7 linked regions of the Mus musculus genome follow. The protein of the gene in region 1 purifies or fractionates together with the protein of each later gene. This does not show direct contact. Links are inferred from orthologs where the notes say so. Each region holds a gene or a part of one and is shown on either strand. Other genes may lie near its edges.

Evidence for each region.
Region 2: the proteins of Rbx1 (region 1) and Cops7a purify together in Homo sapiens (affinity purification with mass spectrometry; 3 studies listed by BioGRID and IntAct, with this or other methods). This does not show direct contact. The link is inferred for Mus musculus from reciprocal best matches to the Homo sapiens genes RBX1 and COPS7A.
Region 3: the proteins of Rbx1 (region 1) and Btrc purify together in Homo sapiens (affinity purification with western blotting; 5 studies listed by BioGRID and IntAct, with this or other methods). This does not show direct contact. The link is inferred for Mus musculus from reciprocal best matches to the Homo sapiens genes RBX1 and BTRC.
Region 4: the proteins of Rbx1 (region 1) and Eef1a1 purify together in Homo sapiens (affinity purification with western blotting; 3 studies listed by BioGRID, with this or other methods). This does not show direct contact. The link is inferred for Mus musculus from reciprocal best matches to the Homo sapiens genes RBX1 and EEF1A1.
Region 5: the proteins of Rbx1 (region 1) and Fbxw8 purify together in Homo sapiens (affinity purification with western blotting; 6 studies listed by BioGRID and IntAct, with this or other methods). This does not show direct contact. The link is inferred for Mus musculus from reciprocal best matches to the Homo sapiens genes RBX1 and FBXW8.
Region 6: the proteins of Rbx1 (region 1) and Fbh1 purify together in Homo sapiens (affinity purification with mass spectrometry; 3 studies listed by BioGRID and IntAct, with this or other methods). This does not show direct contact. The link is inferred for Mus musculus from reciprocal best matches to the Homo sapiens genes RBX1 and FBH1.
Region 7: the proteins of Rbx1 (region 1) and Fbxo21 purify together in Homo sapiens (affinity purification with mass spectrometry; 3 studies listed by BioGRID and IntAct, with this or other methods). This does not show direct contact. The link is inferred for Mus musculus from reciprocal best matches to the Homo sapiens genes RBX1 and FBXO21.

Annotation. Positions count from the first base shown.
Region 1 is NC_000081.6:81,464,966-81,469,115, forward strand, and holds the start of Rbx1 (E3 ubiquitin-protein ligase RBX1), read left to right. Parts: upstream 1-1,350; 5' UTR 1,351-1,407; coding exon 1,408-1,485; intron 1,486-3,189; coding exon 3,190-3,268; intron 3,269-4,150. UniProt on the Homo sapiens protein: E3 ubiquitin ligase component of multiple cullin-RING-based E3 ubiquitin-protein ligase (CRLs) complexes which mediate the ubiquitination and subsequent proteasomal degradation of target proteins, including proteins involved in cell cycle progression, signal transduction, transcription and transcription-coupled nucleotide excision repair.
Region 2 is NC_000072.6:124,962,713-124,966,786, forward strand, and holds the start of Cops7a (COP9 signalosome complex subunit 7a), read right to left. Parts: upstream 2,801-4,074; 5' UTR 2,690-2,800; exon of another isoform or gene 2,573-2,689; intron 2,555-2,572; exon of another isoform or gene 2,440-2,554; intron 2,217-2,439; 5' UTR 2,174-2,216; coding exon 2,012-2,173; intron 1,676-2,011; exon of another isoform or gene 1,571-1,675; intron 1-1,570.
Region 3 is NC_000085.6:45,513,734-45,517,233, forward strand, and holds part of Btrc (F-box/WD repeat-containing protein 1A), read left to right. Parts: intron 1-274; coding exon 275-393; intron 394-2,124; coding exon 2,125-2,374; intron 2,375-3,281; coding exon 3,282-3,400; intron 3,401-3,500. UniProt on the Homo sapiens protein: Substrate recognition component of a SCF (SKP1-CUL1-F-box protein) E3 ubiquitin-protein ligase complex which mediates the ubiquitination and subsequent proteasomal degradation of target proteins. Recognizes and binds to phosphorylated target proteins.
Region 4 is NC_000075.6:78,478,925-78,482,989, forward strand, and holds the start of Eef1a1 (elongation factor 1-alpha 1), read right to left. Parts: upstream 2,801-4,065; 5' UTR 2,715-2,800; intron 1,765-2,714; 5' UTR 1,731-1,764; coding exon 1,587-1,730; intron 1,497-1,586; coding exon 1,317-1,496; intron 1,225-1,316; coding exon 928-1,224; intron 851-927; coding exon 700-850; intron 611-699; coding exon 354-610; intron 269-353; coding exon 34-268; intron 1-33. UniProt on the Homo sapiens protein: Translation elongation factor that catalyzes the GTP-dependent binding of aminoacyl-tRNA (aa-tRNA) to the A-site of ribosomes during the elongation phase of protein synthesis.
Region 5 is NC_000071.6:118,092,959-118,096,458, forward strand, and holds part of Fbxw8 (F-box/WD repeat-containing protein 8), read right to left. Parts: intron 2,772-3,500; coding exon 2,575-2,771; intron 1-2,574. UniProt on the Homo sapiens protein: Substrate-recognition component of the Cul7-RING(FBXW8) ubiquitin ligase complex, which mediates the ubiquitination and subsequent proteasomal degradation of target proteins.
Region 6 is NC_000068.7:11,774,786-11,779,009, forward strand, and holds the start of Fbh1 (F-box DNA helicase 1), read right to left. Parts: upstream 2,801-4,224; 5' UTR 2,648-2,800; coding exon 2,647-2,647; exon of another isoform or gene 2,284-2,646; intron 1-2,283. Other genes in the region: Ankrd16 (ankyrin repeat domain-containing protein 16), read left to right, coding at 3,804-4,117. UniProt on the Homo sapiens protein: 3'-5' DNA helicase and substrate-recognition component of the SCF(FBH1) E3 ubiquitin ligase complex that plays a key role in response to stalled/damaged replication forks.
Region 7 is NC_000071.6:117,975,383-117,979,569, forward strand, and holds the start of Fbxo21 (F-box only protein 21), read left to right. Parts: upstream 1-1,387; 5' UTR 1,388-1,418; coding exon 1,419-1,657; intron 1,658-2,475; coding exon 2,476-2,611; intron 2,612-4,187. UniProt on the Homo sapiens protein: Substrate-recognition component of the SCF (SKP1-CUL1-F-box protein)-type E3 ubiquitin ligase complex.

The sequences.
Region 1 (4,150 bases):
TAAATATGTCCTCAGTATCTTAATTAACTATGGGTTTCTAGCATCCCTTAGGGGGTCTGTAGACACATAGACCAATGACAGATTTAGTGTGGGAGGTAGAACTTGGGCAGACACACACACACCTTGCAGGGCTCTCACAAGTCTCTGTGCAAGTTAAAACTGTGGTGGTATTCAGGATGTATTGCCCTGCTTAGCAAGTGCATCAATGACACACCGCATTACACACCAGCAAGTATTTCTTTTAACAGAACATTTCAGGACAGGCAGTGGTGGCGCATGCCTTTAATCCCAGCACTTGGGAAGCAGAAGCAGGCAGATTTCTGAGTTCGAAGCCGGCCTAGGTCCAGTCCTGAGTTCCAGGACAGCCAGGGCTACACAGAGAAAAACCCTTTCTGGGGGGGGGGAGGGGCACATTTCCGGTAAAACCCTTTTTGTTGTACTGTTGAGGGAACTAGAACACACAGGAAATTCAAGGGTGATGTATTCTAGTCATAACTCCGCAAATTTAGGAGACAAAACAGCGGAGGGCTGGACTAATCATGGAAGCTTACAAAACGTATGTGTTCTGTAGCTCGATGGTAATGACCGGTAAGAAAATCAGAATGCCTCACCAGAACTCAAGTTCAGCCACTACAAATGTACTAATTTAATCGTAGCACAGTAGCAAAACTCGATAGGAAATGAGGAGAAAGGAGGACCATTTAGAACTGGCTGGTTATGGGATTTACTATGGCATCCCCATCACCTTTCCTGTGAGAAGATAAAGGCAAAGTTGCAGAATGCCTGCTCTGTTTGCTCCTGGGCCTCTTCTCTCCCTATCAAATAATTTCCCAATCTGAAATTGATAACGCAGACGGTGACCAGGCCTTGGTAAGCCGGGCCACAGGCCTCCAGAGAGACACCGCCTGGCTCCGAAGCCGACCACGGTCAGCAGAAGGCCGGTTTGGAGTTTCGGGTTTCCAAAGACCAGCCCATGCCCTTTGCAACCACGGACTCGGGGGCAGCTCTGTGGATCTGGACCAGGGCTTAAGTCCTGGGGCAGAAGAAGGAAGCAGCCGCCGCCCCAAATGAAGGAGTCAGACCACAGGGCTTCCCAGAATGCGAGAAGCATCGAGACCTCACGGACGTTCCCACCGGTTGGCTCCCTTCTCTCGGCCCCGCCCGGCCCCGCCCGGCCCCGCCTCAATCACTCCAGCCTCCTCCCCAGCTGAGAGAGATGGGGAGGAGGGGGGCGGGAAACCTCCGCCTGCGCCTTTAAGGGGCGTGACCGCAGGCTCCGCCCCTTCTCCACGCTCGCGCCAATGAGGGGAGGGGTGCGGGAGGAGGCGCCTGGTGTGCGGGGCAGGCGGCGGAAAGTGAGCCGGTGCGCAGGCGCAGTGGTCACACGACAGACTGTGTGTTTCCAAAATGGCGGCGGCGATGGATGTGGATACCCCCAGCGGCACCAACAGCGGCGCGGGCAAGAAGCGCTTTGAAGTTAAAAAGGTTGGGCTCGCCAGCGCCTTCCTCAAGGAAGCTAGGGAGGCGCGGATATGGCTGGCAGGCCCGAGGAAGAGCTAGGCGCGGGGGAAAGGGCTTCATTTCAGGGCGTTCCTGGGACCGGGCACCAAGAACGGAAGCCGGGGGGCGGGCCTAGGGTTGATCGGCATGCTGGTGGCCCAGTGTCTGGGGCCCTATTAGTCTTGCTGGGGAAGCTGTGGGGCCAATCGCAGAGCTGCTTACTGAAATACGCGAGGTTGACTTCGATGCGGGAGCCAAGCGCTTGAGCTGTCACTGAAGTGACTGAGAGGTGGGGGAAGGACAGGGTGGGGTGGGTGGGATGCAGACTCGTGAAGAGACTGCGGCGGGTGGAGGATGGGGCCGTGCGGAGAACCCCGGGAACGTGAGATGACAGCGCAGAGGGGCTCTGCCGGTGTTCTTGCTCCGCCCCTTCCTGGATCCTAGAATCTATTGACTCCGAGGGACCTGGCGTGGGCCCTCGATTGTATGGCGGCCTCCATTGGCCTCTAAACCCACAGTCAAGTGTAAAGCTTGGTTCTAACGAGATGGCTACTAGTTGTCACATAGCATCTGCCACTCCAGTGGTTCTCTGATGTCCCTGTACACTTCTAACACAAAATGATAATTTAAAAGCCTGGTGGGCTTTGTTTTAAAAGCAAGCCCAGAACTTGTGCCATTTAAGAAGGTGGAGTACTAATTGCTAATGACCTGAGAACAGAAAAACAAAAATATGAAACGTCCTTTTGTATGCCGTTCCCCTTCATAGTTTGCTAGTCCTTTAAAAGTGTTGATTCCTACCTAAGATTACACAGATCTGTTAAAAATGAAGATCTTGAAGAGGGCAAGGTGTTTTCTTTTTATGGATTATTTTTGGAACGTGTCGCTGAGAATATCCCTCACCCCACCCCCTTTTTGTGTCATCTCATTGTGGCCACTGCTGCTCAGTTACAGCCTGCAGCCATTATGAAAAATAAAAATGTAATGTAGAATTTACTAAACTCTTATGCTTGAATTTGGAAAGTCAAACCAAAGTAGTCCTTGAAAAGGGTGCCTTGTCTAACATAAGAAGTCTTAGGTCGACTTACTGGAGCTAACAAAGTAATTGTTTGGATATATGAACGTTGAGAACATCAGTTTACTTGGTAAGAGGAAAAGAAAATCGCAGTGGATTCTACTTTGCTTGCAGTGCTCTTTTAAGGTTTAAGTGATGACCTCGTTCTGTGTACTGAAACTGGGTAGGTAACTTGCTATCCAGCTTATCCTGTGATTATCCACTTAGTGGTCCATTTATTATCTTAGTTCAGTCTGTTCACTTCCTTGCCTCTGAGTCCAAAACTTTGTGGAGAGCCCGTGCTTATGCAGATTTTGAGTTCTTCCACAGCTGTCAGGGAAAGCTGTACAGAAAATAGTACTAATATTCTCACGTTGGTTTGGCTAGCTAAATTATTTTACATTATATATAAAAAATTGAAGATACCCATGTTCATATACTTCATCTTTCAAGGAATGGGGAAGTGTACAGGTGGTCTGCTGTTGTCCTCTGATATAGTCCAAATAGTATAATCCAAAAACATCCTTTCTTTGGTAGGCCCTGTGGCTGGGGCGTTGGTAACTGAAGCTGCAAGCTGAAGTCCTAATGAGCTGTTAGATTACAAGGAAAATGCATTGTTTCCCCTCTTCTCCTTGCAGTGGAATGCAGTGGCCCTCTGGGCCTGGGACATTGTGGTTGATAACTGTGCCATCTGCAGGAACCACATTATGGATCTTTGTAAGTAACTCGGGGCAGATGGGAAGAAGTTGAGAAGGTTACAGAAATGGTGGTCATCCTGGTGTGCCCAATTGTCTTCTTTACCAGTGAATACAAAGCAGGCTCAGAACCCTTAGGCACTTGTGTATCTCATCCATTGGTGTGTTTGAAGTAGATTGTTTTGTGGTTGTTTGTGGAGACAGAGTTTTTTGTGTAGCCCTAGCTCTACTAGAACTCACTTTGTAGTAGACCAGGCTGGCCTTGAACTAGAGATCCACCTGCCTCTGCCTCCTGAATTAAATTGTTTCTTTTCTTTTCTTTTTTTTTTTTTTTTTTTTTTTTTTTGTGGGGTTTTTTTTTTTTTTTTGTGGGTTTTTTTTTTTTCTTTCTTTCTTTTTTTTCCCCCCAGACAGGGTTTCTCTGTGTAGCCCTGGCTGTCCTGGAACTCACTTTGTAGACCAGGCTGGCCTTGGACTCAGAAATCCACCTGCCTCTGCTTCCCAAGCGCTGGGATTAGAGGCGTGCACCACCACCGGTTAAGTTGTTTCTTAAAACAATGTCTTGGAGGCGTACCTTGCTCTCAGAATGAATTATTCATTGTAAATCAGGCAAGATCCCATTTAAAATGGGGTGTAGATAGAGTTGCCTTTTATTTCCTTCTTAGACAGCCATAAAGGCAAAAATAGTGGAAGAAAATGACCTTTGAAGGTAGATATAGTGGTATATGCCTGGAATCCCAGCATTTGAAAGGCAGTGGCAGGAGTATTGTTACAAATTACAGGCCCATCAGGGCTAAGATTTGAACTACAGTACTCTTACCTAAGCTAGTTTTTGTTGAACAAGATTACAATCACAGATTGGAGAGATGGTTCAGGAGTTAAGAACATTGGCTGCCCTTCCAGA
Region 2 (4,074 bases), on another chromosome or scaffold:
GGAGGAAGTGACAAGAAGGCCCTGATCTTACCCCATCCATCCCAACAGTACCTATCCTGGTCCCTCAGCTGCTCATCTCTACTCTGGCCCTTTGCTGCGCTAAGCAGCTAATTCCTACTCTCAGAGCTTAAAACTTTCAGTGTTGTGACTATTACAGGTGCACACGCGTACACCAGACATCGTAAACTGTGTGGCCCCCAGAGGGTATAGTGTGGCCACTGCTTCGCAATGTCCTCATAGTGAGGGCTTACTTCATCCACAGCATCTCCCTTCCTGTCACCCCCACTTATCCTGGCATACCATCCCTGTAGGTTCTCACTTAACAGTCTTTTAACAAGGCATTAGACCCAGCAGAGCTGCAGCCCTCGCAGTAAATAACTGATAAATGGCTGACTTGCTGACATATATTTTCATTCACTTATCTGATCTCTTTCACTGGCATCTACTTCATCCTAACGATATACTTCAGTTTACTGTGGATAAAATCAGCAACAAAAGCCAGTGTTTTGTAAAACAGCAGTCAAAGTAACTTTCTATCCTGATTCAACCAAAGGTCTTCTAATGCTTGGCTCAGTTTAGCCACACACTTCGGTCAGGCTCTCGTGACAGGCTGGTGTCACGAGAGTGGCAATCCACCTGCTCTATGCTTTCTAAGTTCTTGACGCAGCCATTTCTGTGAGTGGTTCTCATTACTGTGTTCATAGCTTTGCTACCGTCTTAGGGCAGAAGACAGCATCTTCATTTTCTACCTTAAATGAATCAGAATGTGTGACACTTTGGGGGTGGGGTGGGGTACCATGGCATAATTCAATATGCTCATTCTTTCTGATTTCAGGGGACTTTAGACTTCCCCACAATGTTACTTCTGTAACCGTGAAGGGAACTGTGTGCTTTTTTAGGTTTTTCCTCATTGCAGTTCTGAGAACTGAACCTATACTGAGCCTTGCAAACTACAGACAAGGGCTCTTTCACTGAAAAGACCCCCACTCCTTTTTGAGATGGAGTCTAAGTTGCCCACGCTGATCTAAAAAGTTGTGGTCCCCTATCTCAGCATCCCAAGTTCCGAAATCGAAGCCAAGGCCTCACAAGTGCTAAGCAACTACTCTATCAGCAGTTAGATTCTCACCACCATTTTAAAGAGAAAACTGAGGGTTTTCTGATCCAGGTTTTCTGACTTATTTTGTTTTTAAGATAGGGTTTCTCTGTGTAGCCCTGGCTGTCCTGGAACTCAATCTGTAGACCAGGCTGACCTACAACTCAGAGATCCAACTCTTTCTACCTCCCAAATGTTAGTGACAGGATTATTAAGAGGTATCACTAGGCAGGCATGGTAGCACAAGTCTTTAATCCCAACACTCGAGAGGAAGAGGCAGAGGATCTCTGAGTTGAAGGCCAGCCTGGTCGACAGAGAGAGTTCCAGAACACAGTTATAGTACATAGAGAAACCCTGTCCTGAAAAAAAAAAAAAAAAAAAAACCAACACAAAAAGATATCATACTGGTGGACAAGCTGGAGTTTATCAGTGGTATTCTTAATGACTTGTTCTTTTGCTTCAAAATTAAAGATTTCTGCTTGCTTCAGCAACACATATACTAAAACTGGAACGATCCCGAGAAGATTAGCATGGCCCCTGAGCAAAGACGACACTCCAATTTGTAAAGCGTTCCATATTTTTAAATAACAAAAAAAATTATGCATGAGACATAGGCAGGGATTTCCCACACATTCAAGGCCACCTTAGACCATAGTTACTAGTTTAGGGCAGCCAGGACTACACAGTGAAATCCTGACTCAAAGTGTGGGTACAGAGGGAGGGAGCACTAAGTTTACAGACCCTTTATCTGTAAGATAATGAAGACCTTTATTTGATTGATTTATTTTTCCATGTTGAGAGCTAATTATCGGTACCCCGATCACCTGAGTGGTTACTGGGTACAAAAAACGAGCCCAGCACTCAAGAGTTAACTTTGGTCCCAACGTTCTTTGGGGACTACCCAGGCAAGCAACACACCTCTCTAACATTAGGCATATCCAGCAGTTCCCCAAACACGTAGACACCAGGGGCCTCCAGCACCTGGTGGATGAGTGTGGCCAGTGCCGCCCCCTTAGCCGACTTGGCAAGGAGCAGAAACTGCTCTTGGTTCTGCCCTGTCACCTTCACCTCCGCACTCATGGCTGCGCCGAGGTGCGGGGCTCTGGCCTCAAGATTTCTGGAGCTGCAAGGAAAGAGGAACGTGAAACTAAAGGTCCCTGGACCCTGCGAGGGTGGTCAGCTCGAAGGGACGGGAGCTGCACGCTCAAGAGGGACCCCGCCACATCCGCAGTGAGTAAGTGGGGTCCTGAGGTCTAAAAGGCAACTCGAGGGCTCCTCCAAGCCAGCCCCATCCTGGCTGCCACGCCCACCCGCTCCGTCATCCCGGGCCCAGTCCCAAGCCCCACCACGTGCACCCCATTGAGTTCCAAGACTGATGAACCAGGGAAGGGAGAGATAGCACATGGTGTCTACCGGACGACGACGAACCCCCACTTCGGGACGCGAGTCGTGCACGTGGCCGCCCCCACGTGACCTCACCTCCTCGCGCCTGACTCGCGGCTCCACCCCCTCCCTTAAAGAGGCAGCCCCGGGACCGGCCGGGGTCTGCGCCCAAGGCCAGGTCGTACCCCCGGACCGACTGCAACCGACGGCTACCTGGAAGCCTCGTCTCCCAGCGCACGGGGCGGGGCGGCCGCTCCGTCACCTCCGGCAGCGGCTCCCAAGCCTTTCCTGCCACCTCCCCGCAGGGCCGCTCTAGCCGCTCGCTTCTATGGCCAGCTTCCGGCCGTACTTCCGCTCTCGGGAGGCGGGTTCCGGGCGGCTCCGGCCTGCTTCCGTTTCCGGACCGCGGGAGGCGCGAGAGCGGCGCCCATCTTCCGCTCTGTCCGTGCATCTTTATGGGTGCGAGAGCGGTGAATGCAGGGTGCGGAGAGGACCTCGGCTCTGCGGAGGTCCGGGGGAGCGACCCTCCCGGGAGCTGCAGGACAAGGCAGGATGGCGGCCCCGAGTTCCTGCGGCGACGTGAGCGTTAGCGGAAGGCGAGAATTCGCAGAAAGAAAAAATAAGGGAGAAAGGAGAGAAACGAGGCTATAAATAGTCCAACAACTTATCCACTCTTTTTAAAGAGCAGAAGAAAAGTTTAAAGGGTAAGGGGGCAGGAAGTGGTAACACATGCCCCCACCCCACCCCCCGGCGTATTGGAGGTAGAGGTAGGGGAGAATCAGGAGTTCAAAACCAGCCTCAGCTCCATCGCAGATTCCAAGCCAGTTTGAGCAACATGAGAACCGGTCTCAATAAGAAAGAAAACAAACCCCCGAGTGATTAAGGGGGAAAAGGAAGTGTATTGGTTAGGCTTTTGAGGTTTTCTTCCCATAGAAGTTTCAGATCGCATGACCAGACTTTTGGCCATGGTTACTACAAATAAATATTGAGTCATTTTTTTAGTCTTTGGATCCCAAATTAGCAAGGAGAAAAGTGTGAGTGGAACCAAGGCAGATGAGGAAATTTAAAAGTTAAAGGATTCAGCCGGGCACTTGTAATCCCAGCATCCAGGAGGCTGAGGCAGGAGGATTGCTATATGTTGGGAGGTTATCCCGGGCTACAGTGTGAGAGACCCTATCTCCCAAATATCATGGTGGTACACACCTTTAATTAGGTGGATTTCTGAGTTGGATCATCCGCCACTAAATAGACCAGGTTTCAAAATGAAACAAAACAAAAATCCTTACAGAAACCATATAAGGAGGAAATTAAGGTAAAGCCAGGTTTACTGTTAGATGATTTGTAATCCTATCACTCAGTAGGCTGAGGCAGGAGAATTGGACCTTCAAGGGCTGAGTTCTGGAACTAACCTGTAGGACAAAGAAATATGGATAGGGTCCAAGTGCATACCTGTCTGATTCCGTCGCTTCCTTCGAGGGATGGTGGTGCATGCTTGTGGTCTAGCACTTGGGAGGCTAAGTCAGGAGTATCTTAGGCCCAAAGGCCATGTGAGCTGCATAGTTCCAGGCTGAGAGTGGGAGAGAGAGAAGAGTTAGAAA
Region 3 (3,500 bases), on another chromosome or scaffold:
GACTCCCTTCTAGAAGTGTGCTGATGGGAGCTGTTGTTATTTGGGCCTTCGTAATTATAGGCTACTCTTCCACCTTGATGAAAAAGGATAAAGTTAGCATTAGAACTGAAGTCAACACATCCAGGAGCTTAGCTCTACCTGTAGGAAAGAATGCAGTCCTCGCCCTCTCTGGGCTTTGATGTTGGGGCAGGGGGGGTCACACATGTACAGGACAACAAGTCTCCACAGCACCCTATTATGACAGTGATCAAAAGGGTCTCGTTTGCCCTCCTAGATCTGGGATAAAAGCACACTGGAATGCAAGCGGATTCTCACGGGCCACACGGGCTCCGTCCTGTGTCTGCAGTACGATGAGAGGGTGATCATCACAGGCTCCTCAGACTCCACCGTCAGGTAGGGACTCTCTGCTGCTCCTTTGAACGCTAAGCCTCCACTTTGTGTCACGGTGATTCTTTTCTGAAACCAAAGAATAAGCTGTTAGCTTCTGGTCAGTTACTTGTCGCTCTGGAACCAACACTTGATGTGGGACCCATTGGGTAGAATCTACTTTGGCACATTTAAGAAGCTACACACAGATTTTAATTTGGAGGTACACCTGTAGAGGAACTTCCCTCTCTTTATGGGAAGCCTTACATTCCTTATGAAGCTAGCTCAGGGGAATGGCAGGAAGGGACTGAAGCCTGTCTTTCAGGTGATTGTAACTGCAGTGCAGGTATGCAGGCGCTCTTTCAAGTGGATACAGGTGAGCAAGACTCGCTCCTTGCCAGCCCTCCCCTGCCATCCCCACAGTGTTTAATTGCAAGCTTTACTCAAGGAGGGAGCCCTCAATTTCCAGAGGCTCTGGTGATTTGATGACACAGCCATTATGCTGCTGGAGTCCAGTGTAGCTTGAGTTCAGGGTACCAGCAGCACTGCTGGAAACCTGCTAGGAATTTCACCTTAAGCTAAAGGATTTAGCCAAAGTAATACATCAAAAGTAACGTTTAAAAAAACAAGCGTAGACTAAACGGCAGTTGTCTGCATTGTCAGTTCTCTGCGAACAGCAAAGCCTGTTCCTCTCACTTGCAGGCACAGCAGAGCCCACCCTGGCAGGTGTTGGCAGTCGACTCTTCTCCTGGCTTGGAGGCCACAGGAGCTGCAGCACTGTAGAGGCTTAGGTCGTTTATAGAATAGGGGAGATGATGTCTGTTGTTGTCTTGGCAGTTTAGGGATTGAACCCAAATCGTCTAAATAGCCTTCTACCTCTTAGCAACACTACAGCACAAAAAAATAACTTTCCAAAAGGAGGGTAAGCTGCAAAGGAGAAACAAAGTGCTTTTAAACATAAAGTCAATATGCAAATAGAGAGTAATGTAGGTAATTCTATCTCGGCAGAGTTCTCCAGCTCGCCAAGGGTCTCCACTGCCATGAAGCATGGGCTTAGGGTGAGAAGGAAGGCTCATCTTGACCAACTTGCCCCTGAAAAGCACAAAACTGGAGCCTTTAACTTAGAGTCTGTGTAGGAAGAAAAGCTAATGTTTAGGACAGTGAAAGTCAAGTCCGCATTGCTAAGTCTGTGTGAAACATCTTGGCCCAGAGTGCAGTGACTGGGACAGATACTACTGCTGTTCTTCATGAGATTCCTAGCTTATATGTGTCTTTTTTATTGAATGTCAGTGTTAAAATAATAACCCAAAAATTTGGGCCAAATTATAAGGTGACAGTGACTACCTATGTCCTCCTCTCTGGGCACTATACAAGAAGCACCCACTAAACCTGCCTTTCCTGTCTGTACACATGAACCATGGTGTTTCCTCATGGTTCCTGTGTACCCTGCCTGGGGCATGCAGAACAAGAGCACTTGCCATGAAAGCAGGAGGTGAGCCAAGCATGATGGTGCACACCCTTAGTCCCAGCACTGGAAGGCAGGGGCAGGCGGATCTCTGTGAATTCAAGGACATCCTGGTCTACAGAGTGAGTTCCAGGACAGCCAGGACTACACAGAAACCCCCGTCTCCAAAAGAAAAAGAAAGCAGGGGTGACATGCATTGATTGATTGATTGATTGATTGATTATCCCATTGGTGGTCAAGAATAGGCCGTGCGTTGTACTAAGTACCATCTGATTCCTGGGTGTCCTTTTCAGAGTGTGGGATGTAAATGCAGGTGAGATGCTAAACACATTGATTCACCACTGTGAAGCCGTTCTGCACCTGCGCTTCAATAATGGCATGATGGTGACCTGTTCCAAAGACCGTTCCATCGCTGTGTGGGATATGGCTTCCCCAACTGACATCACCCTCAGGAGGGTGCTGGTGGGACACCGAGCTGCGGTCAATGTTGTAGACTTTGATGACAAGTACATCGTTTCTGCCTCTGGAGATAGAACCATAAAGGTAACAGGTCACTTTTCAGTAAGTTCACAAGCTGCAGTAGGAGTTTGTGTAAAAGCGTGATTGAGGGCAACTGTATACACAAGCCTTGTTGTAGGATACTGTAATAATTAAATTCAATTTTTATTTCTATAAACAATGGTTATGGGCTGGAGGTGTAGCTTAATGACGGCACTTACCTGGTGTGCCCAAGAGCCAGATTGGAAAGATAACAGTGCCACTGATGATGGCAGTGATGGCATGCATGGCGAAAGCCAAGCCAAAGTTAAGTTCAAGGACACATCCGTACTGGAGCTGGGGAAACGGCCAGTGTGAACAGGCCTTGCCGCATATGCGTGAGAACCGCCATGGGAAAGCCAGATGTGTCACCATGAGGTAGTGATCTCATTGCTCAGAAGGGAGCGATGCCAAACCCTGTGGTCGCTGGCCAGTCGTTCTAGCCAGATAGTAAGTTTTGTATTCAAAGTCCCTGTCTAGGAGAATGAGGTAGAGGGGTTGTCAAGGACGCCAAGGTCCTGAGTTGAGTTGTTAGCATGACGATAGTGGCCCAAACCATCTGGACCTCTAGCTCCAGAGGCCCCAATTTCCGGCCTCTGGATTCTGGCTCACATGTGGTACACACAAACTCAAGCAGTTACATATACACATAAAAAATAAGGTGGAAGGAACTAAGGCGGACACTAAGTATGCAGACTCAGGAAAGGAGGCTAATTCATAGAGCAAATCATTGGGCAGTCTCATGTGACAGCAGCCGGCTTCCCATTCGTCCTGTGTCACTCTGGCTCTTGCTTTCCATTGCTGTTTCTTTGAGGCATTGGCCTCCTCTGATGAGTCTCTTCTATCGCCCGCTTCCTGTTTTTACTAGTAGAAGTACCCGATCTACTGCTCAGCTGTCGCTTTTGTGTCTCAGGTGTGGAACACAAGTACCTGTGAATTCGTAAGGACCCTAAATGGGCACAAGCGTGGCATCGCCTGTTTGCAGTACAGAGACAGGCTGGTGGTGAGCGGCTCCTCTGACAACACCATCAGGTGAGCAGCTGCCTTCCCAGAGCACATCCCCACCACCTCCTCCACCCTTTGTGCACAGAGCTCATGGTTCTTACCTGTCTCCTTTCCGTAGCTAGGACAG
Region 4 (4,065 bases), on another chromosome or scaffold:
ATGTTCAGTGTAGCAGACTCAGATCAGGCTTACCAAGTGGAGGGTAGTCAGAGAAGCTCTCAACACACATGGGCTTGCCAGGGACCATATCAACAATGGCAGCATCGCCAGACTTCAGGAACTTGGGGCCATCTTCCAGCTTCTTACCAGAACGACGATCGATCTTTTCTTTAAGCTCAGCAAACTTGCATGCTATGTGGGCTGTGTGACAATCCAGAACAGGAGCGTAGCCAGCACTGATTTGGCCTGGATGGTTCAGGATAATCACCTAAGAAAAACAGCGTGTATTTAAGTCTTGCCTTGTGATTCTGCACACACAACCAATCTAGCCACCTATCTTAAAAATGTGTCACCTGAGCAGTGAAGCCAGCTGCTTCCATTGGTGGGTCGTTTTTGCTGTCACCAGCAACATTGCCTCGTCTAACATCTTTGACCGACACGTTCTTTACATTGAAGCCCACATTGTCCCCAGGAAGAGCTTCACTCAAAGCTTCATGGTGCATTTCAACAGACTTGACTTCAGTTGTTACATTGACTGGAGCAAAGGTAACCACCATGCCAGGCTTGAGAACACCAGTCTCCACTCGGCCCACAGGGACAGTGCCAATGCCTAAAATAGTATTGTTTTGTATAAGTATTTAATACACAAAACATAAGACTTCAAATTCACGTCAACATTCTACTTAATATTCTACTTACCTCCAATTTTATAGACATCCTGGAGGGGCAGTCGCAGGGGCTTGTCAGTTGGACGAGTTGGTGGTAGGATACAATCCAAAGCTTCCAGCAGCGTGGTGCCACTGGCACTGCCATCTTTGCGGGTGACTTTCCATCCCTTGAACCAAGGCATCTAAAACACAGGCAGTCAATTATAACCTCCTTACTTATTGCGGCTTTCTCCATTCAACTACCTTAAAAGTCACTTACATTAGCACTTGGCTCCAGCATGTTGTCACCATTCCAACCAGAAATTGGCACAAATGCTACTGTGTCAGGGTTGTAGCCAATTTTCTTAATGTAGGTGCTGACTTCCTTAACGATTTCCTCGTATCTCTTCTGACTGTATGGTGGCTCGGTGGAATCCATTTTGTTGACACCAACAATCAGCTGTTTCACACCCAGGGTGTAAGCCAGAAGAGCATGCTCGCGGGTCTGCCCGTTCTTGGAGATACCAGCTTCAAATTCACCAACACCAGCAGCAACAATCAGGACAGCACAGTCAGCCTGTAAGAAACAAGACAATCATATACCATTATCTCAGAGAAAGCACCCCACTAAAAAATATCCTGAGTCAGGAATGGGTAAATTTTACACACCTGGGATGTGCCTGTAATCATGTTTTTGATGAAGTCTCTGTGTCCTGGGGCATCAATGATGGTCACATAGTATTTGCTGGTCTCGAATTTCCACAGGGAGATGTCAATAGTGATACCACGCTCACGCTCAGCTTTCAGTTTGTCTAAGACCCAGGCGTACTTGAAGGAGCCCTTTCCCATCTGCAAAGTGACTTCTAATTAGTACACCCAAGACCTAGGTTCTACTCCCTGCTTAAAGAATTCCCATCCCTCCTTTTGCCTTATACTTGCCTCAGCAGCCTCCTTCTCAAACTTTTCGATGGTTCGCTTGTCGATTCCACCACATTTGTAGATCAGGTGGCCGGTTGTGGTGGACTTGCCGGAATCTACGTGTCCGATTACGACGATGTTGATGTGAGTCTTTTCCTTTCCCATTTTTGCTTTGAATTAGCGGTGGTTTTCACAACACCTAAAAAAGGGTTTAAAAGATACCTTTGAACCGCTAAGAAGCCCGAGAATTAGCTCCGCTCAAAACTCAAGGGGACAAATTCCAAAAATGACTTCCAGCGCCAGGCTGGCCTGACTAGTCTCCACCCACCAAATGTGAACAAACTCCAACGCCATTACATCCCCTCCCCCCGCCGCGACTAGCCGTGCTCAAAAGCCCGAGGTGACTATTGCGGCCGATAGGACCACGGGGTCACAGGAAGCAGCAGCCGGTGAGGGACCAGGCCCTCTTCCTTTGTGTGGGTGACTCACCCGCCCGCTCCACCGGGCTGCCGCGTCCTCCATTTTGAGCTCCTTGCAACAGGGCCCGGGAGCGGCCATCTTTCCACGCACGCAACTGGTGCCGGACGGGATGGCCTCACCCTAGTTAGGGAGGCAGGGCAACGCGGCGCCGCCAAGCCAGATCGTGCCGGGTGCTGGGGCCACATGGCCTCGGCACGCTAACCCCAGCCTGGTTGCTTCGGGAAAAACCCCAGGCCTCGCCCCATCCAGGTGGCGTCGGACATGTGCTCCGAAGGCGGGCGGGCCCCAGCCGCCACTCCTGTCCCTCCATTCCTCCCCAACCATGACCTCTCCGGGCTCCGGGCGAGCAAGCCCCGCACCCTCCCTTTGTTAGCCCCTATTGCTGAACGGCAATCGAAGGCAGCAGGGCAACAACAACAACAAAAAAAAAAAGACCAGAGTGCGGCCGGAGTAGCACGCGGCGGCGGCGCGGACACCACGCTAGGCCTCAAGCCGGACACGAGGCGAGGCTACGGGGTTGCCGCTAGGCCTCGCACTCTGCCTCCCGCGCCGCCCGCAACTCGAAGCGGGAATGCTCGCAGCTAATCCCCGCCGACGACAGCGGGGCCCGGCCCGCTCGGAGCAGGACCTCCAGCTCGGCGGCCCGCGGAAGCCACACCCGCCCCTCACCTGCGTTCTGACGGCAAACCCGTTGCGAAAAAGAACGTCCAAGGCGACTGCCGCACTTATATACCGTTCTCCCCCACCCTCGGGAAGAGGGCGGAGCCAGCACACGACACCGCTTTCCCAGTTTGCCCCGCGCCAGCTCCCCGGTCCTCCCCCCCATCACCCCCCCCCCCCCCGCTCAGTGCGCCCCTCCCCCCACGACCAGGGTCTATGAGCTTGTGTGCTCTGCTCTCCCCGCGCTCAGCCCTGAGCGCATGCTCCTCGCACTGTGGTGGGGCGGGTACCGGGATTATGGGTTATGAGAATTTAGCGACGGTCCCTGGGACTTCCCCAGGCGAAGGCGATCCCTCCTTTTGTATGAATTACTCTTGGCCCTAGCGGAGGGTGGGGCGGCGAGAAGCTGGCCAAGAGGGCGGCCAGAATCTATCCCTACTCTTCCTTACTCCGCTGCCAAGGCTGTGTCAAGATCCGGGTGTCCCTTCCCACGGAGGCCACCTCCCGACGTCAGCCCCGCTATCCTTCTGTTCGCCTCCCGCAGCCCATGCTCTCCTGGCTGGGAGAGGAACACAATGTTGGGGACCCTTCCCGGCTCTAGAACCCAAGGGCTTAGCTCAGTAGCGGAGAGCTCGACCGATCTGCCCCTGGGCTGGCCCCTTGGTTTATTCCATCCAATGCCGGTTGATTCTCTGGAAACCTGAAGCGGCCTTCACACCCCTAAGGGTTCAGTTCAGAATATGCTTCAATCCTACAGTTAGCTTTACTTTGATTCTAGGTTTGTTACACTAAAAAGATTGTATGTGTACATGTGTATGTACAGCCATTTGATTGAACATGAGAAACCTGAAAATAATCTAATCCACCCCACATGGTCTCATCTAAATACCAGCATCAGCAATCTCCCAGCGCCCATCCCTAACACTTGTGAAATCACTGCTTCTCAAAAATGGCTTGCCTTGTTAGTTACATCCCTTTCTTTGCTGCAATTCTAGCGATCATACCAGCATTGTTTTGTTATTGAGACAAGGTCTCTCTTTTTTAGCCCTGGCTGCCCTGGAATAGGTAGTAGACCAGGCTGACTTCAAATTCACAGGAATCCGACCTGGACCTGCTGGGATTAAAGCCCTGGCCATTTTTAAATGCCTCTCAGAGCAGGCACACAGAAGTGTTTCTCAGAGGAAAGAAGAACTTCTTTGTTTTGTTTTTTAATGCTAGAGATGGAAAAAGAATTATTTTGTAATGGGATATGGGGTGCTGGAGATGGAACCCTAGGGTGTCTATCACCAAGTTACAGTTCCTAGCTCAAAGATATCCTATCTGATTATCCATCATTGGATCTCCTCTCCCAGGTGTACAA
Region 5 (3,500 bases), on another chromosome or scaffold:
AGGGAAGGATGGCAGCACTTACCATTGGTGTGAGCTCACTGTGACCCAGGAGGTCCTTCTATCAGGGCTACAGAACCTGCATGGCAAAGGCTTGTGCATGGTGCTCACTGAGAGCCACTCCTGTCAATGTGCAGACATAACACAGCCACACCACCAACCACAGGACAAAAGCTGAAGTCTTCCTTATGGTCCAAATGGGATCACTGTGGGAGGGACTGGGGCTGGGAAGCAGGAATCCCAGTGGGCTCCCCCCTCAAGGGGAGTCAGGCTGTGAGACAAAAAGACAACTTCCAGCTCTTGGTCTTACTGGGTCTTTTAAATCCTGACCATGGCAGTGTTTAGAGCTATCCCTTGTTTTGTTTTACTAGACACTGAACAGTAAAACTGCCCCAGTTCCGAGTGAACAGAGGCATCTGTCAAATACATGTGAGCATCAGAATGAAACTCTACAAAAGCTAAACTGTCTGTTCCTAGCTCTCTCCTGCCTGCCTGTCAGACAGTGACCCCCGCCTCTGTGCCACGTGACCATCTGAGGACAGAGAGCTGCACAGACAAACCACGCTCTTGTCATACCTTCCCTGACTGCATGGGGGCAGAGCACACTGTAGGAGTAATCCACTTCTCCCCAGAGCAGTGCCCATCACACTGCGATCACAGAGAGCGTGGATGCTGAAGGTGAGCCACTGCAGAATCAGGAAAATCCATGGTTTAAGGGACAGCACCGCACAGACACTGTGCCAGAGGCCTGAGTTCTGCAGGCTGCCCCAGGGAACTGAGCACAAGCAAACATCATCCGGTGCCTCTGCTAATCCTGGGCTCCAATCATGCTGAGCAGCCCAACATCTTGGGCTGTGGGTCCATCACAAAGGCCAGCTGCTCCAAGCTAGCACTGTAGACCCGGGAACACTGCCACAGCTATTCAGGAAGCACAGCTAGAGAACAAAGATGGTCGACTCCATGGGCCAGGGGTGCCTGATCCAGGGATGCATAGTACACACTATGGTAACTCGGCACCCAGACTGGAAATAATGCTTAGAGCTGACCTGCCCCAGCAGGGCTGCCTACTCCTGTTTCTGTAGAAACTCACTTCTTAAATACACCTTTGGCTGCCCATTTAACTTCATCTTCCAGCTGGGTTTCTAGCAGGCCAAGAGACTCAGACTGGCAGTGGCAGCCATTCACTTGGAGGTGTAAACGACCTCTAAAGCTCCCAGTCAGCCCCAGGATGGCACCTGACTGCCAAGGCAGGATTTACACCTCATGAGGGGTTCTTAGCTTGTGAAAGTGTGGCTGGTCCATAGAACAAATGGAAGCCCTGCACCCCAAGTCTCTCTACAGCTGACAGCGTCAGGTCGTGTTAGAGGAACACTGAGCACCGCAGAGCTGATCTGAAGCAGCAAGCTTAGGGAGATTAAGCAGTGACCCCAGGTGTTTGGTGCTTGGTATTCAAATCTAAAGATCCCACAGAGAAAGGGAGAGAGGGGACCGGTTCCAAGTCCCCAAACCTCCTTGCTCAAGGCTAGCTCTTCTGCTCCCCTGGCTCATGCCAAAATGATGTGTGCTCAAATTAAATACAAATTTGGCAAAGACAGATGAATACTGCCATATCACCAAACCATGTCTGCTTGGTGAACAAGACTGGTGGCAGCCCTGTGCGAAGTCTCCCAAGCTGGCTCAGCTTCCCGTGGCATCCTGGAGCCAAGCTCCCAATCTACACTGGCGTCCATGGACCCCCTCAAAGGCTCCTCCTGACTCTAGGTGAGACAACTGTGTAGGATGAATGCTTTCTGCCATGCAGACTGTAGCGTACCACTGCTGTTCACTTAGCTGTTAGGCCAGAAAGGAAGCAGGAGCTCACAGGGTGAGCCTGCCACGTAAGCAGGAAGGAGGTTGGGACCATGGTAAGAACAAACTCTGGCCCTGAAGTCACCTCAGTGTTTGCACGTGCTGCTGTGTTGTGTTGTGTTAGAAGCTGGGGGTGGAAAGATGGCTCAGCAGTTGAGAGCATTTACTGCTTCTTACGAATGCCTGGAATTAAGATTACCAGCTCATAACACTTACAACTCCTGCTCCAGGGAATCCAACCTCTCATGAGCACATACCCAAACACAAAAAGTAAAAGAAGGAGAGGAGGAATAGGAAGAGGAGGAGGAAGTAGAGGAGAAGGAAGAGAAAAAGGAGAAGGAAAAGGTGGAAGAGGACAAAAGAGAGGAGGAAGAAGAGAAAAAGAAGAGAAGAAAAAAGAGGAGGAGGGGAGGAAGAGGAGGAGGAGGTAGAGGAGGAGGAGGAGGAGTGGGGCTGGAACCCAGGGTCTCATGTCCACTAAGGGAATGTTCTATTAAGCTATAGCCTCAGCCCAGCAATTGGATTGAGTCACAACTTAGCTTGGAAAAACAGGAAAGTCAATTCACCACTCTGAGGTGCTCTTGACTTCTTGGGGCATGAAGGAAATTGTAGTCCCGTCTCAGGGGGCTGTTGGAAGCTTCATGAACAGAAGCCCTGGGCATCGTCACTCTAGTCCATGTCAGACCAGGGTCCTCTGAATGCAAACTAATAAGCACAGTAAGCGCTCACCAGCTTCTGAACTTCAAACTCCGAGGCCACATGCCAATGCCCCTCCTCGTTGGGGTACAACATCACAACGTCAAAAGCAGAAGCCGTGGCAACAATGGGCTTTTCTTGGCTCAGCGCAAGGGCTTGTATTCTTGCGTCATGCTCAAAACGAAAGATAGGGAACCTTCCGGTTCTCAGGTCCCAAATGTTAAGGATCCCTAGAAGGAGAAAAGCAGAGAACAACCGTAAAGCTGGTACACACAGACACAGAGCAATCATACAGTTGCTTTTTGGATTACTGTGTGAGGATGACAGTGTATGGCTCTTTGTCTGAGCCTGCACTGCTGTCCTAGTCAGCATTCTGTCTGACATCAGCAGTACTTACACAGGACTACTGGGCAGGCCTTGGGAGACTCCCATGATTTCCTCTATGGCTCGCCCATAAAGCTAGCCCTAGTTCTGACCTCCCTACTGCCAACAGTGGCACGAGTCACTCTTGGTCTCTGTGCATCTCTAACTGAAAGTGCCCAAGTCCAGATTCTTGCTCTGATGTAGCACCCTGCACATACAGTTAGGTGTTGCAAGACTTCCACATGGCTGCAGCAAACAGCCACAGAGCTCTCTTCCATGGAAGGGCTTAAACACGCATGCACTTCTCTAAGAACTATGATCAAATGAGGACAGGCAGGTCACAAAAGGCTCCATGACATGGTCCCCCGGCATATACTTTGGTAACTCTCTCTATTCTGCCTCAGAGGGAGATGATGTGCTACAGAAAATAAACATCTCGGGGGCCACTCATTAAACAGGACCTAGTGTCTCCTCTCCAGAAGGTCTCATCTTGACACGGCCTCTTCCAAGTACTGCTGCTCTGTATCTGTTCCAAGGCATCACAGTGTGGACTGCATGTGTTTTAAAGCATCACACAGTGGGAACTGCTACGCAGA
Region 6 (4,224 bases), on another chromosome or scaffold:
CAGCCCCCATTTATTACTGCAAGAAAAGATGGGCTGAACGGCTCATTCTGTGTTCCTCAGACAGAATGACAGAAAACAAACAAACAAACAAACGAGAAATCACTACTTACTGTCCACAATATATCTTCATATATCTGATAACCATTTTCTATTATTTATTCACTCATTCCTCAACCTCTTCATTTTTCTCCATTTCCCAGATTTACTATGAACTCCATGAGGGCTTTCCTTATGGTATCCCTGTTGCTAATGCTATTTTAGACATTGGAGAGCATACAAAAATAAGTAAGCCTGACCATAAGGCAGCTACCAAAACAAACACAAATTGCTAAACACACAGCAATCCAAGCACTACATAAATATACACATAAGGGCCTACGGTAGTAAATATAATTAGGACTGTTACAAGAATCTCCATAAAGGGATGGGCCTTAAGTGATGAATGGGATTCAGTTAGGCACAAGAAAACAATATGAATGAAAAACAAAGGAATGGCACAATGTGTGACAGAAACGTTTCCTTTCTTCAGAACAAAACGCTAACTGACAGGCTGGAAAATGAATTTGGATCCAGAGACTACAACGGTCCTCTTACATACTGCTAAAGACACTGTCCTTTACTCATTGCATAGGCAATTCAGAGTAACGTGCTGTTTTTAAAAGCAAGGCCATTACACAGCCAAGGGTAGCTAGGCATGGAGATTGTCAGCAAAATAAGTCAGAAAGTCATGGTACCAGCTGGGCAAGAGTTGGAGAAGGCCGGAGAACAGAAGTTGGGTAGCAAGGACAGGTGAGTATCAACAAGGTGTGAAGACCAAGAGGAAAATGGAGGACAACTGACTCTGCTTGTGTAACATTAAGGGAGCTGATTTTAGCTATGTTAAAAAGCAAAGGAAGAAATGGCTGCTCTAATAATTTTTCATACACTGAAAGGCCTAAAGTTTCCATTTTAAAAATAATTTTCAGGGTTTCTTCTTGTGGTTTGGTTGTTGTTTTGATTGGTGGTTGGTCTGCTTTGTTTTGCTGAAGTAGGGTCTTAGGCCAACTAAATGCTAGGCTGATCAACTGTGTGCCATCATGTCCAGATTATTTTAAGAGGTTCTGTAGAACACCCAGTTAAAGCTCCCTCGAGTTCTATGAAACATCAAAAGTCTTCAAAGAGCATGCGAATAACTATTGACAATGTAAGAGCTGGCTTTGGTGATAATTTCTACAAGTTTTGTCAAAACCAGAACAGCAAAGAAAAAATCTAAATTTTTCTAAACTAAAGTCAGCCTGGGGGAACAGAGAAATATAAGATGGGCGTGTGTGTGTGTGTGTGTGTGTGTGTATGCGACAGTAACACATTTGAAATTAGAATTCAAATACTTTTATGTATTCATAAACCAGGAAACATGTTAAAGGACTGATCCCTTGATCCCTCAACGACATCTAAGTACCAAAGATCCATGAAACACAGCAAAAGTCAGATCGAATATCCCAATTCCATTGACAGTTAGTTACAAGGGAATTGAAGGCCTCCAAAGACCTTCACTGAAGAAATGGGCAGCTCAACCAGACAGAGAGAGAAGTACTAGCCCTACTCATAAACTTAAAGCATAAATACCCACCGCTCTCCAGAAAAATCACCAGGGCTATGGAGGCAGATTCACCAAAAATATCTAGTTTCCCAAAGGAAAACACAGAGCAAAGGAAATTCATAGAGCAGAGGAGAGGCAGAATCTAATTTAGAATACCAATTAAATAACCAATTTCATCTTTTTATAAACCAGGATTCTCGGTTTTGTTTAAAGGACCAGAAACTTAAGAGAGATAAGGCAAGACCACGTGAAATCATTTGTAAGGAAGGAGTAGGCAGCCCAGACTAGCCTCGAACCTCGAACTCAAGGTCCTCTTGCTTCAGTCTCCCAAACGTTGAGATTTAAAACCATGCAAAGTAGCAAAAAGTTTGAAACTATCAGATGCCTCAACTTTCCAATACGTGGCAAAAATCACTAACTTCATTTGGCCTTGACGTCCTTCCTCGTCTCTAAAACCTGAATGCTACCTATGGGCTGTTTATGGAATAGACAATGTCAGGCGCTTAGTGAACCAGAATGTACTGCCAAATGCAAAGAAATTGTTTTAAACCTGGCAGGAGCGACTTCCATTTTACTTCCCAAACGGAAACACCATTAGGTTAAATGTCTAGTTCCTCGAAAGGAAGCCAACAAAGCGGGCTCGGGTCTCAAAGAACCCTCCAAAAGCCCCCCAGGCCTTCTCGCGTCCCCTTAACCACCATCACCTGTTCAGGTGAGGGGGTGGGAGACTACCAAGGCGAACACCAACGTCAGGAGCTGCATACAATGACTCGCCCAAGGTCAAAAACATTACAGTGGAGACAAGCCAGGCTTGCCAGCGGCAGAGGATCTGTCTTCTCAGGTGCTGCCCCTTCCGGAGCCTCAGGGAGCGGCCAAGGGATGCGGGTCTGCAGAGAGCATCCGACCTCCTTCTGCAGGCCCACTCCTGACCACCGCGGGCGCGGCCAGCTCCTACGCCCACCCTCAGCTAGGGCCCCACCCCCGAGGCCAAGACCCCTGCGCGGGAGACCCCACAATAGGAAGTTTTCCCGGCTCGCACCCCACGCCAAGTCCACGGTCTCACGCACTATGGCGGCCCGGCCCAGGACCCCGGCGGCGACACCACCCAGGCGATGCCGCCGGACATTCAGCCTTTCCCCGACCAGCAAGCCCCTCCTTCGGCCCAGACAGCGAGCACAGACGACTGCAGACTTCCTCCGCGAGCTCCGCCTCTTCGCTGCCAAGACGCACCCTCCCACCGGAGACGACGGACAGGCCCGTGAACCAATCGAAGCACTCCGAACTGGAAGGGTCACGCGGACGGACAGACTCTGGAACCAATCCGTACGCGAAGCGGGAGGGGGCGTGGCTCAGTGTCTTGAGAGCCACGCCCCGTCTGTGCTTTCGCCACCGCGGAGGAGGCGAAGGAAACTTTCCCAGAGTTCCTTAGAGCTCCCTGGGTCCCCGCGGGGGCCCAGGAGACAGCAGCGGGCGGGGAGGGGGCTGGGGTCGGCTGCGGATTGGGTGAGGATCGGGCGGAGCACAAGGACACCGTTCCAGCTCTGAGAGGCCCCAGAAACCCTTGCTGTTGTGAGCCTGGTCAGCCGAAGGATGCGGCTGTCAGTCCGGCAGACATCCTCAGGCCAGGGGTGGGCCAGCTAGGTTCCAGGGTGGTGGGCAGCGTGCTCTCGACTGCCTGTGCAGCTACCACCGGAGCAGCCCAGCAAACATTCCCAGAAGCTGTCCGGTGGAGAGCAGACCACATCTGGGATGCGAGGCCAGAAGTCCCGCGTGCAGGACTTCGCGGTACACTGGCACCCTCCATTCTGATAGGTCTTCCGTTCCCAGTTCACTCGGGTGCAAGGGACAGCTCCAGGATGTCAGGTGCACACAGCCTTACCCCAAGCCCTGGGAGCCCGAGGCCCCACCCTGACGAGTACGCGTGTGTGATGCGCGGTAACCAGAATGACCTACGAGTGTGCATGTTGTCGCCTGAGGGGACACCATTCTACATTTGGAGACTGTGACTTCCAAACCAGGGCAAGAAGCATTAAAGACGCTAGCGGAGAGAATCTGGCTGGGGGCGGGCAGGGGGCGGTGCCGAGAGTCGGGGAAAAGGGTCACGTGGAGGAAGCGGAAGCGGAAGCGCCAGCCTTCTCTCACCTCCCAACCTATCATAGCACAGATCTGCTCTAAGACTGAACCTGGGTCTTCCTCCTACTTTTGTCCATCCTGGTCCAGGGCGATGGCTCTGCCTGGGGATCCGCGGCGCCTCTGCAGGCTGGTGCAAGAGGGCCGACTGCGTGACCTTCAGGAGGAACTGGCGGTAGCTAGAGGTTGCCGGGGGCCAGCCGGAGACACCCTTCTCCACTGTGCAGCACGCCACGGACGCCAGGATATCCTAGCGTACCTAGTGGAGGCTTGGAGTATGGACATCGAGGCTACCAACCGAGACTACAAGCGGCCTCTGCACGAAGCTGCCTCTATGGGCCACCGGGACTGCGTGCGCTACCTCCTGGGCCGAGGTGCAGTCGTGGACTCCTTGAAGAAGGCGGACTGGTAGGTGCCCAACCCACGGTCCAGAAAAGCTATATCGACACTCCCTGAAGAATCGCAGATTTTCATGTATTTTTCAGTGTGTTCGTTAGATTTATAACTTTTCTCAG
Region 7 (4,187 bases), on another chromosome or scaffold:
GGACAGCCAGAGCATATGGTAATTGTTGTATTGCCAGAGAGGGCATATATGTCCCCCAAATCATGAAGGATTGTTGAGTGGAAGACAATTAAAAGCAGACACCATGAACACCTCTAAAATCACACTCAGCATTTTGGGAGGCAGAGTCAAAGGGATCAGCGGCTTGAAGGAGCCCAGTCACACAGAGGAGAGCTCCCCACGATACTTCGACCTGCTTCAAATCAGGACATAGATTCAGGGGTTACTACTATTCTCCACACCATCATAGAGCTAGAAATAGGGGTCCCCAAAAACAAATAGTATGCTTGCCTCAGTACCCAGTGGAGAGTGAGTCACCCGTGGAGAAGGCCAAATCACTTCCAGGAAGTGCTTGGTATAAGATAGCCATTTTCAACAGCTTAATTTTGGGACTATGGCATGGCTGTAAAGTGCATGGCTAACCGGCACCAAGCCCTGGGTTTCACCCCCGCACTACCACCTCTGAAGTACATCTTGGTGGTGTATGCCTTTAATACAAGCTATGGGAGGTAAAGGCAGGGGGGCCAGAAACTCAAGGTCCTTCTCCAATACATAATTCAAGACCAGAGTGGACTACATCAGACTCTGTCTCAAATTGCTTTTGAGATCGGATCTTAATATAGATAGCCCAACTTTTGATCTGCGTGCCTCGGTCTCCTGAGAGCTGGGAATTAGGAAGTAAGCCACCATAGTCATTTTTAACTTTTAGTTATTGTCTATGTGGACTCATGTCCCATCGAGAAGGTGAAGGCCAAAGGGCAATTTTGTTTTGTTTTGTTTTGTTTTTCGAGACAGGGTTTCTCTGTGTAGCCCTGGCTGTCCTGAAACTCACTCTGTAGACCAGGCTGGCCTCGAACTTGGAAACCCACCTGCTTCTGCCTCCCAAGTGCTGGGATTAAAGGCGTGCGCCACCACTGCCCGGGCAACCTCGATATATTTATTTTCGAGACAGGGTTTCTCTGTGTATCTCTGGCTGTCATGGAACTCGCTCTATAGCTGAGGCTAGCCTCGAACTCTGAGATCTGCCTACTTCCACCTCCTAAATGCGGAGATCAAAGGTGCCACCGCCTCCCCGAATTTGCGTGTCATCCTAGGCGCAGCATCCATGCAAATCTCTGCATCGTTCCAGTTTTAGTATCTGCGCTGCCGAAGACGAGCACCCAGCTATCATTTTTAAAAATGCCCCTGGGAGAATCAGGACGCGAAAGGACCATTTATCTCTGCAGCAGCAGCCAGCTCTCGCCTCTGGCTCTTCCCAGTCCTCCAAGCGGAGTGGGCGGGACCCCCTGGCGTGGGCGGGGCGTTCCCAGCCACTCCCCCTGAGGGCGTGGTACGGCTTCTTAGGCTCCTATCGCGCGCGCGCCCGCCCGCACAGCGGCCCCCTCAGGTACGCGGACAAGATGGCGTCGGTAGCGGGGGACAGCGCTATGGAGGTGGTGCCGGCGCTGGCCGAGGAGGCCGCGGCTGAGGCGACGGGCCCCAGCTGCCTGGTGCAGCTGCCGGGCGAGGTGCTGGAGTACATCCTGTGCAGCGGCTCGCTCACGGCGCTGGACATCGGCCGCGTGTCCAGCACCTGCCGCCGCCTGCGCGAGGTGTGCCAGAGCAGCGGGCAGGTGTGGAAGGAGCAGTTCCGGGTGAGGTGAGCGAGCATCCCGTTCCCGGGACCCGCAGAGCCCCTCGGCGCCGGGCCTCGCGTGGGGCCCCACCCCGCCACCCTCCGGGCCTCCGGGCCGCGCGCCGCCCTCTTCCCGCGGCCGCAGACAAAGGCCTGCCTGCAGCCCGGGGGGCCCCCTCCGGAGCTCCGATGGGGTCGCGGCAGCCGCCCGAGGCCGGGGCCTCCGGAGCGCTCCGCCCCGGGGGGCTGCGGCCTTCACGCGCCTCCCGGCTGCAGGAGGAGGCGCATCTTTTGTGGCCGCTGCAGGATGTTGACGTGCAGGCAAAGCAGCGGTGCGTGCATTCCTGGCTAGCTCCTTAGGATGCCGGCATCGGACCTGCCAGTCCAGCTCGTGACCTTGGGGGTGGAGGGGGTGATGTCGGTCCACCTCCCTTCTCCAGAGCCTGGGTCTCCTGGTCGGTGATGAGACCCCCCCTCCTTTTTTTTTTTTTCCCATTATGGGGAATCAAATAAGATGAGGCCCGGGTTTGCAGGGCCTGATGCTGAGGGAGGCGCGCCATCCACGAGAACCGTTAGCATCACTGTGATTGTGGCCAGCGCAGAGATTGGGGGGCGGAGGGGGGGCGGCGGCTACTGGTGGTAGAAACGCTGCCTTTCGTGTCGCCACGCCAAGGTCACTGCATCTGAGTAGTGAGGGAATGCATTGCATACGCTATGATTATTGCAACTAGAGCCTCTGCCAAGTCCACCCCCCCCCCCTTGCCCGCAGACTCCTCCGTGGTTTTTTGCAGTCTCTGCGGAGCTGAGAAAGGGTGTTTTCTCTCCCCCCCCCCCCCTTATAGGTGGCCCTCCCTGATGAAGCACTACAGCCCCACCGACTACGTCAATTGGTTAGAGGAATATAAAGTTCGGCAGAAAGCTGGGTTAGAAGCCCGGAAGATTGTAGCTTCCTTCTCCAAGCGGTTCTTTTCAGAGCACGTAAGCATCAGGCTTGGTCATGCTCTGTGTGTGTGTGTGTGTGTGTGTGTGTGTGTGTGTATGTGTGTTCGTGCGCGCACGCGCTCGTTCGTGTGTGCCTGCCATAGCTTTTCAGCTCTTGTTCCTATTTCCCTTTTCACTGCTCACACAGCCCTTTGCTTGCATGCTTATAAGAGTCATTGTGTCCCCTCTCCTCCCGTCCAACAACACGGAGCCATTTGTCCCTGCTAGCCCTACTTTTTTTAAAGCCAGAGGGAGTGGGGTGTTGAGGAGCGGAAAGGGACACAGGGCGGTGTCCACTAGGTCCAGAGAAGCCTTACTCTTTGAGACTGTTAGGCGCTTTATGCACTGTCAACCTCTTGGTGCCTGTTTCCCAGGGAGGCTGCAGAAGTGCATGCCGTGCAGGGAACTGCCTTTTTAAGGAACCAAGGTTAAAAGCTGCCGTAGCTGCTCCTAGCCATTGAGCATTTCTGTTTATCACTGTGGCTCTTTGTTCCGAGAGAGGAGGTTCACTATGCGGCCCAGGCTGGCCTTGAACTCCCGTCCAGCCTCCTGAGGACTGCGATTCCCAGGAGGCAGCCTCAAGCCTGGCTCGAGTCGTGTGTCGCTTTTCTGTAAGGGCTGAGATGTGTGTTTCTTTTCAGGTTCGGAGTTAGTCGTTGTTTTTCTCCCTTGTCCAGAAATGTCCCATGGAAATCGGTGTCCGTTCCATTCACTACTTTTTGTAGGGCTAGGGAATTGTCCCCTCTCGTATTTCCAGTCCCTGCAGATTGTGAGCCGACCAGTGTAGCTGACAGTGCTTGTTTAGTTCTTCTAGGTTGGTGAAGGTTATTTTCTGAAGGTTAGTTCTGATTTCCCACTCTGCTGTTAAAGGAGTTTATGAGCAGCGTTTTCAAGGCGTTTCAAGTTTTGAAAGAGCAGATCTGAACTTTGAACACATTTTTAACTCAGTCCCCAATGGGAACTACAAATAGACACCCCCCAATTTGTTTATAGAAATGCTTGTTAACGGCAGAATGAACCAAGGTTTGGTTCAGTCTGGAACAGTGCCCCTGCCAGTCAGTAACTACAAGTGTTCAGTCCTGGCTTAAATGTGCGCACACACAGGTGTTTTGATGCGGGGCATGTGGGATACAGTTAGTCACAAGCCACTGGTTCACAGGCTCTCCCTGGGATCCACCTGTGGTTGTGTGTGCTTTTCTCTAATAATGATGGATCGGTGAACTCTACTCCCCCCCCTTCCCTGTGTCACTGCTTACTTAATTAGAACGTGTGGTGGACTTTGAACGCAGCAGGGGCACAGTTAGAGGTGGATGCATAGATGGGTGATCAATTTGGCTCAGCACACTGGTTTTCTTGTTTTCTCCATGTGCACACAAATCAACCTGAAACACTGGCTGCTTTCAAAAGGGAAACTGGGAAAAATCCCAGGATGTTAACCCAAGAGTCTTAATGGACCACCACTTCTACACACATACCATCCACTTAACACACATCTATCTCCTTAGCAGGCTCGGAAACTCGGACTGTGTGAGTGTGAGGCTGTAGCCACGGGTGCCAGGTCTGAATGTGCCGT